Linked DNA regions of Alligator mississippiensis. The protein of the gene in region 2 interacts with the protein of the main gene of each other region in a pairwise test. Links are inferred from orthologs where the notes say so. Each region holds a gene or a part of one and is shown on either strand. Other genes may lie near its edges.

Evidence for each region. The genes of interacting proteins can lie anywhere in the genome.
Region 1: the proteins of MIPOL1 (region 2) and TTC12 interact in binary tests that used the Homo sapiens proteins (3 or more experiments, as listed by UniProt). The two-hybrid records come from large-scale screens. The link is inferred for Alligator mississippiensis from reciprocal best matches to the Homo sapiens genes MIPOL1 and TTC12.

What each region holds. Positions count from the first base shown.
Region 1 is NC_081839.1:32,582,551-32,590,006, forward strand, and holds the start of TTC12 (tetratricopeptide repeat protein 12), read left to right. Parts: upstream 1-4,397; 5' UTR 4,398-4,445; coding exon 4,446-4,500; intron 4,501-4,598; coding exon 4,599-4,756; intron 4,757-4,815; exon of another isoform or gene 4,816-4,851; coding exon of another isoform or gene 4,852-4,971; intron 4,972-6,411; coding exon 6,412-6,442; intron 6,443-7,406; coding exon 7,407-7,456. UniProt on the Homo sapiens protein: Cytoplasmic protein that plays a role in the proper assembly of dynein arm complexes in motile cilia in both respiratory cells and sperm flagella.
Region 2 is NC_081825.1:258,444,584-258,452,087, reverse strand, and holds the start of MIPOL1 (mirror-image polydactyly gene 1 protein), read right to left. Parts: upstream 3,033-7,504; 5' UTR 2,943-3,032; intron 1-2,942.

The DNA.
Region 1 (7,456 bases), on a different chromosome or scaffold from region 2:
GGCCGTGCTTCACTTTCACTGCGGGAACAGATCCTGTTGCCCTGCTCGTCCTTCCCGGAGCACAGGGCAGCCCTGCTTCCCGCCCAAGCCCTGTGCCCTCTTAGGGCAGACGAAGTACCTTGCTGCGGACGTTTAAGGCCAGACACTGCACGAGGAGGGGGGGTCCATCATGGCCTCCGTTGTCCAGGTGTTGTTCCAGATCGACTCGGAGGTGTGAGAGCCCAGGATGCAACTGGACTACCCCATACGGCCGGCTGTGCTGGTGCAAGCTCTCTACCCAGGTGCTTCTCTTCTGCTCCTGCTGCCCCAGCCTGCTCCATTCTCCAAGGCACGGTGTCCCCGTCCCCCGCACTAGATGCACACCCACAGACCTTTTGCGGTTATGAATCTTCAAGCCAAGACGAGCAAAGAGACCAGACAGGACCTGCAGGTTGGAGAGGTATTCGGGATATGATATTTGGATGTGCAATGCAATAAGCAGTAAGCAGAAGGCACTGTGGATTGGGTCTGCAATGCAGTCCATGTCCCAAGAACGTGGCAGATAAAGCCTGGATTTTCTCCTTAGAGACTATTTATACTTGCCTGTGTATTTGAGGAGAAAGGAGCATGTGGCACAGGTCTTAAAGAGGGTGAGCAAGCGGTGTGCTAGCCGCAGTGGCGCTCTCGGGTCGGTAGAGAGCAGCCTTAGCCCATCTCCACAGCTGCAGCATCCCGGGAAGGACGGATGCGACTTGGCTTCGTGCTTAACGGGGAAGCGGGTGATCAGAGCTGATGGGCTCAGGTCTGCCGGAGGCTGGTGTTAATGCTGATGTCTGGCCCAGGCCAAGGGCTCAGCTGTCCCTGCAACAGAGCCGGCTCCTCCTGTGTCTCCCCCAGGAGACCCCCTTTCCAGACTGTGGGGCGATGTGCCCCAGTGACAGACATCAAACCGGGCCTTGGGGGACCTGGGGCTGTATTCCCGTCTCTGTCGTTGCCCTGTGGTCAGATCTTGGCCAATGCTCCTCCATCGCTGTGCCTCAGTTTCTCTTGCCACCCTTTGCTGGTGTCAGTTGTAAGGTCCAGGCGCTGAAATCATGCAGCCTTCCTCTTGCCCAGCTAAAGGAGATGGCTCCTTGCCCTTTCACGTGCAGCAAGGGAGACCTGGAGTAGATGCTGGGGAAAGTTTTTTTCCAGCCAGGGGGTTAAGCACTGAACCAGGCGGTTGAGGAATCCTGGCTGGAGGCTTTTAGGAAGACCGAGGTGGTGTCGTATGTGAGGGGAGCTAAAAAGCAGGGGAAACCCAGCGTGGACCACACTGCAGCACTCGGGGGAAGTCTTGCAAGGGAAAGGAGCAGTCTTGTGAGTCTGGGGGCTTGGCTACAGTCTGCTCTGCAACAGCAAGCAGAAAGAGCTCTGCCTTCCCCGAGACGCGTCCTTGGAAGAGGCAGGCAGCGGGGGCCCTCCTGCAGGACCCCTGTCTTCTGCTGAGACCAAGCAAAGCCACCACGGGGTTTCTCCTGAAAACGACTGCTGCTTTCCCCGCTGCTGGGCTGAGATTAGCCATACGGTAACGGGGGCTTGGTGCTTGTGGGGTTTGCTCTGAGAACAGGCTTTGCAGCAGCGTTGTGCATCCCAAACCTGAGCTCCAGGGCTGGTGTTTTGTTCTTGGGAAGCTTTGGGGCACCATGAGAAGCATCTGTAGCTGGATGCTGTCGCCTGTCTTTCCAGGATGGGCGGTCACGTCAGCTCCCCTCTGGCCAGGAGCCTTGGGATCATGCGTAACAAAAGCTTTGTTCTCACCAGGCCTGGTGCTGGCACTCAGACCCCATTAAAATGGGACTAAGCGATATGGACTGGTGGTACTAGAGGAAGACAGAAGAGGATGACAGGAAAGAAACGGCAGGCCTCTTCTGGTGGAGGGGGTCTTGCATAGACTTTTTCAGGAGCAGGTCTTTTGAGGAGGGCAGCAGGTAAGGGTACGGGTATGGAGATGGGTGCACGGATATGTGGTGTGAACTATGGAGCAGGTTTTTAGTGTGCTTTGAGCTGCCAAGTGAACCACAGGGGCCACTGGGTAGTGTTGGAGATGGAGTTTTATCCCTATCCCTATCTATTGATATCGATCGATATCAATATCGATCGATATCGATAGATAGATATCAATAGATAGATATTTATATATACAGAAATAAATATTTTTTGCAAAAAAAGAAAAGAAAAACTAGGTCTGGTGCTGGCCAGTTCCTTTCCATAATACATGTGGCACCAACCCCATGCCCAGTGCTCTGATTTCAGCACATATTTTGCTGCTGACGGCAAATGAAGCTCTCTGGAGGGCTGATTCTCCTCCACACGCGTGATGCTGGCATGCAGTGCGCAGGGAGCATGGCATGTTTTCACATTCAGGGGATGAAGAATAGTTAGTGCCTGGGAGCTCAGGCAGGGCTGTTTCTGCAGGCAATGGTTGATGTCTGGGCACATTCCCGGGTACATCAGGGGACATTGCCATGTTCTGTTTCTGTACAGCCGAGGAGGCTTCTCACCCTGCTTGCAGAGAGGATGCTGATCTCAGGAGGATGGACCGCCCAGGACTCGGAGGAAAGGGATGCTGCCAGTGTTGGATGAAGATCGGCACTGCAGGGAGTCGGAGATGGTGACAGGTGCAGGGGCAGACCCGGCGGGTGCAGGACGTGAGTGACTGGAACGTGGTACAACTGGGGACAGCAGAGCAGACGCAGGTTTGATCTGGCCTCTGTATTCGCTGCAGTGGGGTTGCACGACAAAACCAGGACGAAAGCAATCCGGGAGACTCCCCTTCTGCATGGGGCTGAAGTCTTCTAAGCACCTGCCGAGGGCAGACGGCCGTAGCTACCTCGTAGCAGGGGTGATGGTCACCCAGATGGGCTGGGCCAACTCAGCTGGAGGCCCTCCTACTGGTGCCGGTTAGCAGAGAGAGAGAACCAGTCCACAGCACAGACAGCCGTTGCACCATCCCGGCTCTCCTGGGGACGGCAGACCATGCCATGACCCACCGTCCCACCCGCCTGGACTGTGGGACCGCTCTGGGGGCCCAGAAGGAAAGCTGTTTGGGCTGCGCGCAGCGTAGTGGGCACTAGATGGATGGCGTGTGTGGCAGGAGGGGAGAGAAATCCCAGGGCACAAGGGAAGGTGGTATTATGCGGAGCTGCTGAATTACTGAAAATTCAAATTTTTGCTGAGTCGGCCCCATTTATCACTGCAGCGTGTGGATAAGAATACAGGCCCACAGGAAGCGTTTGGGAAGCCAGGCGTGCAAATTCTGCAGAGTCCGCCCCCGCCTCTGCCGCTCACGTATTGCAGCCAAAGTCACTTGACCATAATGAGCTCTCTCTGTCAAAGCAGAAGTTTTTGGAAGTGATTTCCCCCCACCCTTTATTTTTTTTGTGTGTGACAAAAGTAGTAAATCAGGATGAAACTCATCATTGCCCTGTGCTAGGCATCAATTACTGCTCCATGCAAGCAAATGAAGCCATCACCTCCAAGCCCACTGAAGCGTGGGGCTCGCATGGTTTTGCCGCTCGTCTGGCGGAGACAGACATTCGTCTGGGCCGAGATCTCTAGGAGGCGGTTGGACGCCGCTTTCACGCTAGAACAGCTAATCCTGTGTTTGCCTGCAATCAGCGCACTTCCAGTCCGATACAAACCTTTCTGCTTCGGAAATAATAATACACTGGACATTTTTCTGCAGCGCTTTCTGCCCCAGGAGGTCCCCGAACGCCTGCTCGGTTCACGAGCAGAGCGTGCGTTGCACCAACAGGCACCTGCCTGTCGCTGAAGGCCGTGGGGAGAGGAGAAGGTTAGACTAAAATATTGGGGCAATCTGTGTTGCAGGAAATAGCAGGCGGTCTCTTTTAGTATCCAACAGAGATGCCCTGGAAGACCGGCCGGACCCCCTGGGCCGGTACTCTGTGATTTAAATGAAACACCACTGCTCTATCTATGAATATGTGTCTCTCTATATAGTATAGATCTAGAGCTACTGTATGCAGAGTAGATACATAGAGTAGATGTTGAGTTACAGAGCTGCTGAATTACTGAAAATTCAAATTTTTGCTGAGTTGGCCCCACTGTATGTAGATCTAGATCTCTAATCTCGATATAGCTCTGCATATATTAGATCTATAGATGTCCACACACACGTGTCTATACACACAGACACGTGCGCGCGCACACACACGTGCGTCCACGCTCTACTCCTGTTGTTGCCCCCGAAGCGCCCCGCGCCGCTCCGGATTGGCTGGCCGCAGCCTCGCCCTGCGTTCCCATTGGCTGATCCCGTGACCTCCGCGCCTTCCGCCCTTCCTGCCCCGTCCGCTCAGAGCCCCGCCCCTGCTGGGCCGCTATTGGCCGCGGGGTCGGACGGTGGCCGGGCGGGGCGTTGCGGCGTCGGTTGCCGTGGCGACCGCGGGACTCGGCGCGGCCCGGCCATGAGGCGCGAGGAGCGGGACGTCCAGCGCTTCCTGCGCCGCGTGGATGACGTCAGTAAGCACCCCCGGGCCCGATCCTGCGCCCCCCCCGGTGCCCCCCGGTGCGCCCCGCTCCCGCTGCAGCCGGCGCCTTGTTCTCTTTGCCGTTTGCAGCCCGTCTGGTTCAAGGCTTGAGCTCGGCGGACCCGGCCGCCCGCCACAAGGCCCTGGCCGAGTCGGAGGCGCGCCTGCAAGCCGGCGGGGTGGGGGACGCGGAGGAGGAGGAGTGCGTCACGCGGTGGGACCGCACACGCATCAGCTCCCCCCGTGAGGTCAGAAGGGGAAGGGGTGAGGGGGGTGCATGTCTTGTCCTGCACGGCTGCGTCCCCTGGGCGCGCTCTGGGCCCGGGGAAGTTTGCTTCTGGCGATGAGGTCGGCGAGGCGCGACCCCGGTGTGCTCCTCAGTGCAAAGTCACGGGTATCGGAGGGCTTGGCTGTATATCACAGCTTTGTCGGCGTGTTTCGGGGGACTGCTGGTTCTGTGCACGTACGTACGGTGGTCCGTGGGTTTCTTGTATAACCTGGTCTGCATTTTACCCTTCTGGATACTCATCACCGCGTCTAACAAGGAGGCGTTGGCGTACTCTAGACACGGTCGGACGGAGGGTGGCGACTGTTGAATTTCCGATGGACCTCGATCGGAGATTGCAAGCTTTCGGTCCAAACGATGAAGGTGTCATCCATGTATCTTCGGTGTAGCAAGGGGCCGATGGGGCCGTGCTTGAGGAAGTCGTCTTCCAGGTGGCTCGTAAACCGGTTGGCGTACTGCGGGGCCGTTGCAGTGCCCGTAGCTGTTCCCGTCGTTATAACGCAAACGTTATCATTAATAACCATCCATATTTCGTGGCAATTCAACAGTTAAAGGGCGTGTTTGGATTATAGTAAGCGATTATAAGGCAAACGTTATAATTAATAAACAATATTTCGTGGCACTTCAACAATTAAAAGTGTTTGGATTATAGTAAGCAATTATAAGGCAAACATTATAATTAATAATCACCAATATTTCGTGGCACTTCAACAGTTAAAAGGCGTGTTTGGATTACAGTAAGCAATTATAAAGCAAACGTTATAATTAATAACCATCGATATTTCGTGGCAGTTCAACAGTTAAAGGGCGTGTTTGGATTATAGTAAGCGATTATAACACAAACGTTATAATTAATAACCATTGATATTTCGTGGCACTTCAACAGTTAAAAGGCATGTTTGGATTATAGTAAGCGATTATAACAGAAACGTTATAATTAATAACCAATATTTCATGGCACTTCAACAATTAAAAGTGTTTGGATTATAGTAAGCAATTATAAGGCAAACGTTATAATTAATAATCACCAATATTTCGTGGCAGTTCAACAGTTAAAGGGCGTGTTTGGATTATAGTAAGCGATTATAACACAAACGTTATCATTAATAACCAATATTTCGTGGCACTTCAACAGTTAAAAGGCGTGTTTGGATTATAGTAAGCAATTATAAGGCAAACATTATAATTAATAACCATCGATATTTCGTGGCACTTCAGCAGTTAAAGGGCGTGTTTGATTGTGCCGCCTGCCCGAGTTCTTCGTGGCCGCCGTGGAAAGCGGCAGGCTGCAGCCGGACGTGGGGCATGCGACGAGTCTGGCAGAAACTCGTAGCCAAATTGATTTTTTGAAAGAGGCAGCCTGAGCATTGACTTGTTTGTTTTCTCTGTTTCTGTGGTTTTAAATGTTCCTGATGGGATGAGTTCTGACAGGTTTAAAAACGCTGCTCATGCTTTGAGAGACACGTTGTTACAGAACTGCGTTTTGAGTTACTTTCAGAAATACGCGTGATGCACACACCTGTACTTCAGAGAAACGTGGTTTCTTTCCAGTTCAAAACTTCCTTTGTTTTGTGCGTGTGTTTGGGTGCGATTGTCACGCGTTCCTTTTTTTTTCAGGACACCCACAATGTGAAGACAGAAAACCCAGGTAGGATGGCATTCTCCTCTTCAGTCATTAACCCGCTATGAGTTTTTTGTATGGAGAAAACTCATTGCTGCTATCTCATGCCAGGCCCGGTCCTACTCCCACAAAAGTCAGTAGGAATTTTTTTACTTAATGGGGGCTGGATCAAACCTGCAATTGCTTATATTAAAGAGTCCTATACGCTTGGCTGCATTATGCATAGCAAGGAAGTTTTTCTAGGTGTTCCCCAGCTCTCACCAAAGAGCTTCATTATTCTGAATTAAAAAACAGGCCCATCTCCTAGAGATGAGCTACTTAAAAAGCCAGGTATGCAAATCCTGAGCAGTATTACAGCCTTTATGTGTAATAGCCACCCACATGGTCAGGGGCAGCCAGGCAGGCCCTACGAGGAGAGGCTACAGGACCTGAACCTGTTCAGCCTCCACAAGAGAAGGCTGAGGGGGGATCTGGTGGCAGTCTACAGACTAGTCAGGGGGGACCAGCAGGCACTGGGGGAGTCCCTGTTCCCCCGAGCACTACCAGGAGTGACTAGTAACAACGGACACAAGCTGGCAGAGAGTAGTTTCAGGCTAGACATCAGGAGGCGCTGCTTCACTGTCAAGGCGGCTAGGACCTGGAACCAACTTCCAAGAGAAGTGGTGCTGGCTCCTACCTGGGGGTCTTTAAAAGGAGGCTGGACGAACATCTGGCCGGGGTCATTTGACCCTAGTACTCTTTCCTGCCCATGGCAGGGGGTCAGACTAGATGATCTCCTCAGGTCCCTTCTGACCTGACCAACTATGAACTATGAAACCTATGTTCCATTTAATATCAGAGTAATGAAATGTCCCCTTAAGATTTTCTTCATGGAGAAATTGTAGCTCAGAAGTGACTTTTATCTCATCATTGGTTTGCTTTTTTAATGAGGAAATCTCTCTCTCTTTTTTATTTTTTAACTGAAATACCATCCTAACTTCCCTGCTCAAAGGTGATTTTTTGGCAGCCCTGGAGGAGGATGCACAAGAGCGAGCCAGAAGA
Region 2 (7,504 bases):
AAAATAAAATTGTGTTGTATGAATTAAGTGTGTAATCATTGTGAAATCGTGCAATCAACTAACTACTCCCCCAGCCAGCGCATCAAACGAATCAGTAAGTTGTGTGGGATTTTCTCTATTCCATAACCCACTATAGACAATTTGGTGCAGCATGTGTAAAAGTTTCATCAGCAGGGAGGTAATAATTCTTTTCTGGTGAAATATTAAATGTTCTTTTTCACATGTAATTCCATTCTGAGCACTGAGTTCTAGAAAGGTATTTTAAAAACCCTACACACATCTGCACACCTGGAGATAATTCAAGCAAAAATAACAACAACAAAAAATAAGAAACTGGAGTTACAGATTTATGAAACCTCAGAATGTTACAAGATCACATCCTATGTAGGTTCATGAAAACTTTTAGCAAATACATCAAGGATGTAAACAACAAGAATGGAAAGGAATAATTTAGAGAGATACTATCATAACTTGAAGTAACAGGAGTTTAAATTTAGAAGATGAATATTTCTGATTTTGAGATCTACTAGCTTGATCGTACTTAGAACTAGACTAGAAAAGCAACTAGAAAAAAAAATAAAAGTGATCAGTCCTATGTTAAGCAAGGGATGGGCTGGCTATCTTGCTACTGCAAGCCTTTCCCTCCCTTAAACTCTATGAGCTCCTATACACGTGCAGGGAGCCTGCTCCAACATGCTGTAACTCCAGTGCATCGGTGCAGATTGGATTAATTGAGTCTGCTGGAGCAGGGACATTAATGCACTCTAGCAGTGTCACGTGCATCAGCATCCCCATACTGAAACATGGCAGCTGGGCACTTTGAACTAAAGCTTATTCAACAAGCTTTAGTTCAAAGAGCCTCACTGCTATTTTTCAGCACAGGGAAATTGATACGGGTGATGCTCTGGGTGCTTTTTAAAGCACCCCCATGCCTCCTGGAGCACATGCATCAATGCCCTATGTATCTCATTATATTTGAATCCCTCCCTCTTGGCTTTCTATTTAACAACTGTCATTGCAACAGCTTCTCTTCAGCCACAGGGGAGGATGCAAATCTTCGTAATATGAGATTGGGATCAATTCTGGGCCCTGTACCAGCTAGTAACAGGCATCAGAGGTGATAATTATCTTCCCTGAGCCTAAAATCATGCCACCTTTGCTATACAGCAAGACCTTGATAATTTGCATTAACAACCAGGAGACAATTGTAAATAAATTAAATATTGTAAATTAATATGTAAAAGCAAGACTACATTACTCAACAAATAACTTTCATTTGACAGTTTTGGCTTAGTTTTAATTACCTTAAAATTCATGAACTAGTTACAAATAACTACTTTGGTAGAGTTTATAAGTAACCGATGTTGTAACCTACGGCCATTCTATAGCCCTCTGCTATTAATTCTATACTGGAAAGTGTGGAGAAATAGCGGTCGCAACAATTTTTCACAATAAGGATCAGCAGGCTTCTGCTGCACCTTATCTCCACTAATTCCCATGTCCCCAGGCCCAGATCCCAAAGTCAGTACAGATCTGGATGACTAGGGTAGAAACACTTTAATAGTCTTCTGGAATTGCAATGGTTCTAAAAGAAACCCTCAGCATACATGCCCCTTTTACTTTCCCCTCTTCCCCACATTGATAAGACATTGCCCCAAAACCTCAGCCCATAGCAGATTGATTGAGTTTCAATTTGTTTTAGGAACATTACCTAATGAATTCACATGGGTGTGAGAAAGTAGATAAGAAAGCATTTCTCCTATTACACAGATTGGGAAACTCAAATAATAATATTAGCTGCTTGAATCAATACACCATTTTAAAATCTGAACTTTTTAAGAGAATGAAGAAAACTGTTTTTATGTGGTTAACTGTTCTTTGTGTCATGGAGTACCACCAATACACTACTCCAAAGAATTCATTACTGACCTTCCCAACTCATGAGTTTATAGGGTAAAGGCCTTCTTTCATTGTCCACAGTAATTCAACAAATCCAGTTCCTACCCTCTGAAACAGCTCACCAATCTTTTCCACACCACAGCTATTACTATCCTTATACAAAATATTTTTCCTAGTACCATTACTTCTTAATGTCTTTCTTGATTTTTATAGCAAGTGTGGTGACTTGAGCACTGTATAAAGACCCCTGTGGAAGGAAGCCTTCTATTCCCAGGGCAACTAATGACAGTGCAAGAATCCTTATGCTCCCCTGCCATTGTGCTTCACAGGAGGCTAGGACTGAGCATCTTCAGAGCAGTGAATAATTTGGTTGCTACAAGCCAAAGCCTCTAACTCAACGGATCCCAAACTGTGGGCTGCCGGGTTTAACTTATGGGAGAGCCCGGGAGAAGGCCTGAGCCCCCTGCCCCCCATAAGAGACAAGAGCCCCCCTGTAAGATTTGAAAATCATAACCTGAGGGGGTCTCAGATTTTATTAAGGCATTGTGATGGGCAGCTCCATTTTTTTTGCAGACTCAAAGTGCATTTTGAACCCTGGGGGACTCCAGCCCCAAATGGGGTCACAACATCAGCAGATGGGGCAGCAGGGCTGGGGGGCCATGGGTTGGGAGTGGGGGCCATGCTGAGGAAAAGTTTGGGAACCACTGCTCTAGCTGCTGTGCTGGCACTTCACAGCTGCAGCCTTTCCTTCTGATATGCGTATTAAGAAACTGAGGGAGACCATCAGTACTTACAGGCCTTAATTCTCTTAACTGGGGGTGGGTGGGAGTAACTTGTAGGCAAGGCACCGCAAGCTGCAAAGTGGTCTTGTATAACAGGTGCCTTTACTGAGCGCAGGGCACGAGCAGAAGTTCCCTGTTGCCCGGTGCCCACACCCGTCCCATGGGCACAGCGGGTGAGCGAGCCCTTCCTGCAGCTCCTGAGAGCAAGTGCCATCAGAGGGCGAGCCCCCCTCCCCGCCAGCTGCCCGGCGAGCCCGTTACCTGCGTCCTCCTCCCGCGGCTCGTGCCAGGCGCCCCGAGGGAGACGCTGCTCCGCGTGTGCAAGCAGCCCTGGGCGCCCGCAGGCTCGGGCAGCGGCAGGCCGAGGAGGGCGCGACGCAGCCCGCCAGGGCACGCAAGGACGAGCAGGAGCAGGAGCAGGAAAGGAGGGCCCAGGCCGAGCGAGGAGGCGGAGCTGGAGCTGCAGCGGCCGGCCAGGAATCCGGTCAGCTGGTCGCGCCTGCTGGGGAGCCGGGAAGCAGTTGGGGCTAGTCTGTCGCTCGCCCGGGGGCGGGAGGCAGAGCCGTGGTACTCCTTGGAGATGGATCCGGGGAAGGAGCTGGAGCTGGAGCTGGCGGGCTTTGCATCTCCCTGGGAGCGGGAGGGCCAAGCGCCTGCGAGGTGTTTTGAGGCACTTGGTGAGAAGGTTACGGGCGCGGAGATCGTAGGAAGTCTGCGGCGTCGCGCTTGGAAGGCGCGGATCTCTGCCGCGCGCCGGGGCTGGAAAATGAGGGGGAAATATTCACTGATCGTTTACTGAACAGCTCCGGGGGGGTCAGCAAGTAAACCATTTGCGGATCCTTCCTGCTGTTATAGAGGCTGGTTTTGTGTCCCAGAGGTGTAGGCGATGCGGTGCTGGGGGAGGAGAGGGGTCGGGTAAAATGCCTTTGGTTTTCAGTGCTTTGGGGACAGTGCCCGGTGGCAGCAGAGGCTGTTTGGCGGGGGAGGCACGGGGGGACTCGCGGGGTATGTAGCCAGTGGGAAAAGGTTTGTAAATTGACTCCCTGCAGGGCTGTGTAATCAATCGTCTTCCAGGCCTCTGACACTTGCTGGGAATAATTTGGATGTGTCTGTTTCACTGCTGAAGTTTTGTCTTTAATGATGCTGTGTTTGTGTTTCTAATAACAGACGTCTCTCCGTGTAACTCCCTGCACTTTGCCTGCTGCTTTATTTTAAATGTTTTAATGATTCTGTCCACGTGGCGCAGCCTCACTGCACAAATGCCCTTTTTGCTGTTGTGGCACCCACTGAGGAATACAAGATCTGATCCGTGACAGGGCCTTCATCTGATGAAGTGCTACAATGAGTCCATCCTGATCCCATGTCTGTTATCCGTATCAAAGTGAACAGTACAGAACATACTCTCTATTCCTAGAACAAAATTAAGAGATGCTCTGGTAGCTTTTTTTTTTCAACAAGCCACTGGGGTATTTATTGAGCAGTGTTGTCCCTGAGCAAAAACAAGGGAATAAATGCAAATGTTAACAAAACATTAATGCTGAGATGTTAATTATGTGAAGGTCAGCACGTTCAAATTTTATTATTTTAGAGGAGCTATTCTATATTCCTGCCACAATCATTACTCCACTTTTATAACATGAATAAGTTCAAGTTACTATTTGTTTTCTGATAAGTACAAGGGAATCAAGTTACATTTGCAGCAGGAACACGTTTGAATTTCCATATTTTTGTGCAATTTAAATCTCAATCTTTACCACTGTGTTAGCATCTTTTGCATGATTCTCTACATGTTTGCATATTGTCTCATTACAATTAAAGGTCTGACAGAGGTTTATTCTAAGCAGTTAAAAGCTACAGTTTCTTTTGTCCATAAAATATCTCTTCAGTCAACATAACTTGTTGATGAAATAGTATAAGATGGAAGGTTTAGCAAAACAATTTATTGGAACTAAACCATAGCTCAATGAATTATCCCTTAAACAACAACATTTTATTGGGTTTTGGCTTCTGATATACCAAATTCTCATTTTTGTAACAGCAAAATACATCTGGAGAGGTTTGACAAATCATTCTCAGAAAGGCCAAAGTGTGCTTTGGCACAACTTCATCCGCTTCAAAATGCCTCTTATCTTCAAATGTTCTTCTGTTTGTAAAGGATAAGTCCCTCTGGCACAGAAACGGGCTGGGAGAGTAAGATTAGACAAATTGTGTTTCTGATGTCCTTTCTGTGGTGGCTTGCTTCCCCTTCTTGGGCCCCTTGGTAGTCTAACACTCACCTCTTAATTCCTTTCATACCTTCACCAGTGATACAAAATCTTTCTCCTTTGCAACTTTTTGTTGCTACCTCAAACAGCTTTCCTTCATGTGTGTTGTATTTCACCGTTACTGTGGCATTTTATTCTTACCTGAAAATATATTTTACCTTGCCCTTACATTTATTTTTCCACAGTTATTGATTAAACTTTGTGATTAAACATTAATTCTGTGAAACATTTCTGGAATATACAAAATTAAGCTGTACTGTAATCTCAGTTACTTCCATAGCATCCATTACCATAGTTTCTGACCGCCTCACAATCTTCAGTCTATTTATCCTAACAGTTCCCCTATGACACAGAAAAGTATAATAATTAGAAGAGTGAAATTTCACTTTATATAGATTCTATCCCTGAAGAGATTATTCAGAAAAATAAGGAGAAGAAAATTTGTGTTGATTCTCTCTCCTCCACCCCCACAATTTACTAGAGTTCGTTTACCTCCTAATTTGCATCATTATTATTAATAGGGAACCCTGTCAACAGTGAACAGCAAACAGTAGTTTGCCTGCAGTTGCTGTGTCTAATTTGTGGTCACTGTGTTTAACTAGAGCCTCTTTTGTAGTGACTGTCTGACTGGGTATGTATTTGCAAATTTGCATGGTCTGCTTTGTTTCAGGTGGGCCTTGTCTAGTTAATTGAGGTATGAACCAGGCAGGCTCAGGCCTGGCAGTCTTATAAAAGACAGCTTTTCCAGCAGACTGAGCAGTGAACTGAGGGAGCTTGTTTGAGGAAGAAGGGCTGAGCCCAGGAGAAGTGAAAAGTTCTAAAGCACAGTCTAAGCATTTTCCACAGCAGTTGTTACCTATTTGGCAGGGCTTTTCAACCTCTTTTAATAAGTGTACCCCCGGCAGCTGGACACAGAGCAGGGAGGGGGTGTGACGCATGGCCAAACACAGAGTGGCAGCAGTGCAGGATGGTGGTGGTGGCGGCAGCCGCTATGTGCAAGCTTCCCCCTCCACCTATTCTGTGTCTGGCCAGCCGGGTGGCGCCTATGCAGCCCACAGAGGGGCACCGTTGCCCTTGCCCGGCCCCAGCCCTGCTCCTGGGAGGCAGCGGCATTGGGTGGTGGCACTCCATCCCCACCTGCCCACACATACCCCCTAGGGGCTTCCCAAGCACTCCCAGGGGTATGCGTACCCCTGATTGACAACCCCTGCTATATGGGATGTGCTATGTTTGTGTTCCTCCTAGAGGGTCAAAGTGACTTCCTGTGCACCAAATGCCAGCTGGTGTCCACCATGGAGGAAAAGGTTGAAGGGTGGGAAGTACAAGTATCAATGTTATGCAGTTTCAGAGAGAAAAACTTCCTTGATAAGTCATGAGAAAACTTGAGAGACAATGATCATCACATGACAGAATTCATGACTCTAAGGCAGGGGTGGGCTGCTTAATGAGTTTGGGCAAGCTGTCAAGGGCTACAAGGGTAGCCCCTTGGCAGGTGCCCTGCCCCCTAGTCACCATCTTGGGACTGGAAGTCCTACCCCTGACCTTTGCCACTGGAAGTTGCTCCCCTTATTCCTGAAAGTACTCCTTTTGGGAGTAGGGAGCACTGCCATCTTGGAACCAGAAAAAAAATGAATCATATACAAAAAGTAGGGTGACCACCTTTTTTAAATGTAAAGGTGGGAAACATGCCTGCCTCCCACCCCCCACTGGTGGTGCAGCTGGAGCCAAGCCGAACAGGGCAGAGGTGGATGTGGGCTGCCCGCTGCAGGCTCAGGACTCCCCACCCTGCTGCCTTTCTCCTAGGAGTCCCTTGTTGGCTGTGTCCCTCCTGTGCCTCCCTGCCTCCCCTGCAGCAGTGGGCGCCAAAACTCCACACTGCCAATGCCTCCAGTGCTGCCAGGTGGGCAAGCAGCACATCACCATGGCTATGCACAGCCCCTGGGCACAGGCTTCATGCTCCTGCCAGCCCCATGCTCCCTGCCCCATTCAGCTGCATCTTCCCCCTGCTCCTGCTGCAGCTTTTCCTCCTCCTGCTCCCCTACTTGCTGCCTGGAAGAACCACTGGATGCCAGGGAAGCTGAGCAGGACCCCAGTGGCTGCAGCAGGGGCAGAAGCAGCCCTGCCCAGAAGTGCTGGCCAGGCCGGGGCCCTTCCTTACACAAGGGTGGGAGTGAGGTGAATGGGCTGGGCAGGGAATAATTAATTGGAGGATGCCTGTGGGCTGGATGGAATCACCATATATTGCTTGCCCTCGCTCTAAGGGGAAATATAAGATCAGCAGGATACCAGATCTCCAGAAGGCTGATTTCAACCAACTCAAGGAGATAGTAGGTTAGATCCCGTAGGAGGACAATATGAATGATAAAAGGGTCTAGGAGGGCTGACAATTTCTAAAGGGCATAGTATTAGAAGCTTAACAAGAAGCTATTGCTATGCAATGGCAGGAAGGATGGCAGGAGATTGATGTGGCTGCACAAGGAGCTTCTTGGATGCCTCAAAATCAAAATGTACAGATAATGGAAGGAAGGGCAAGTCACTAAAGGCACCTATACACAAATA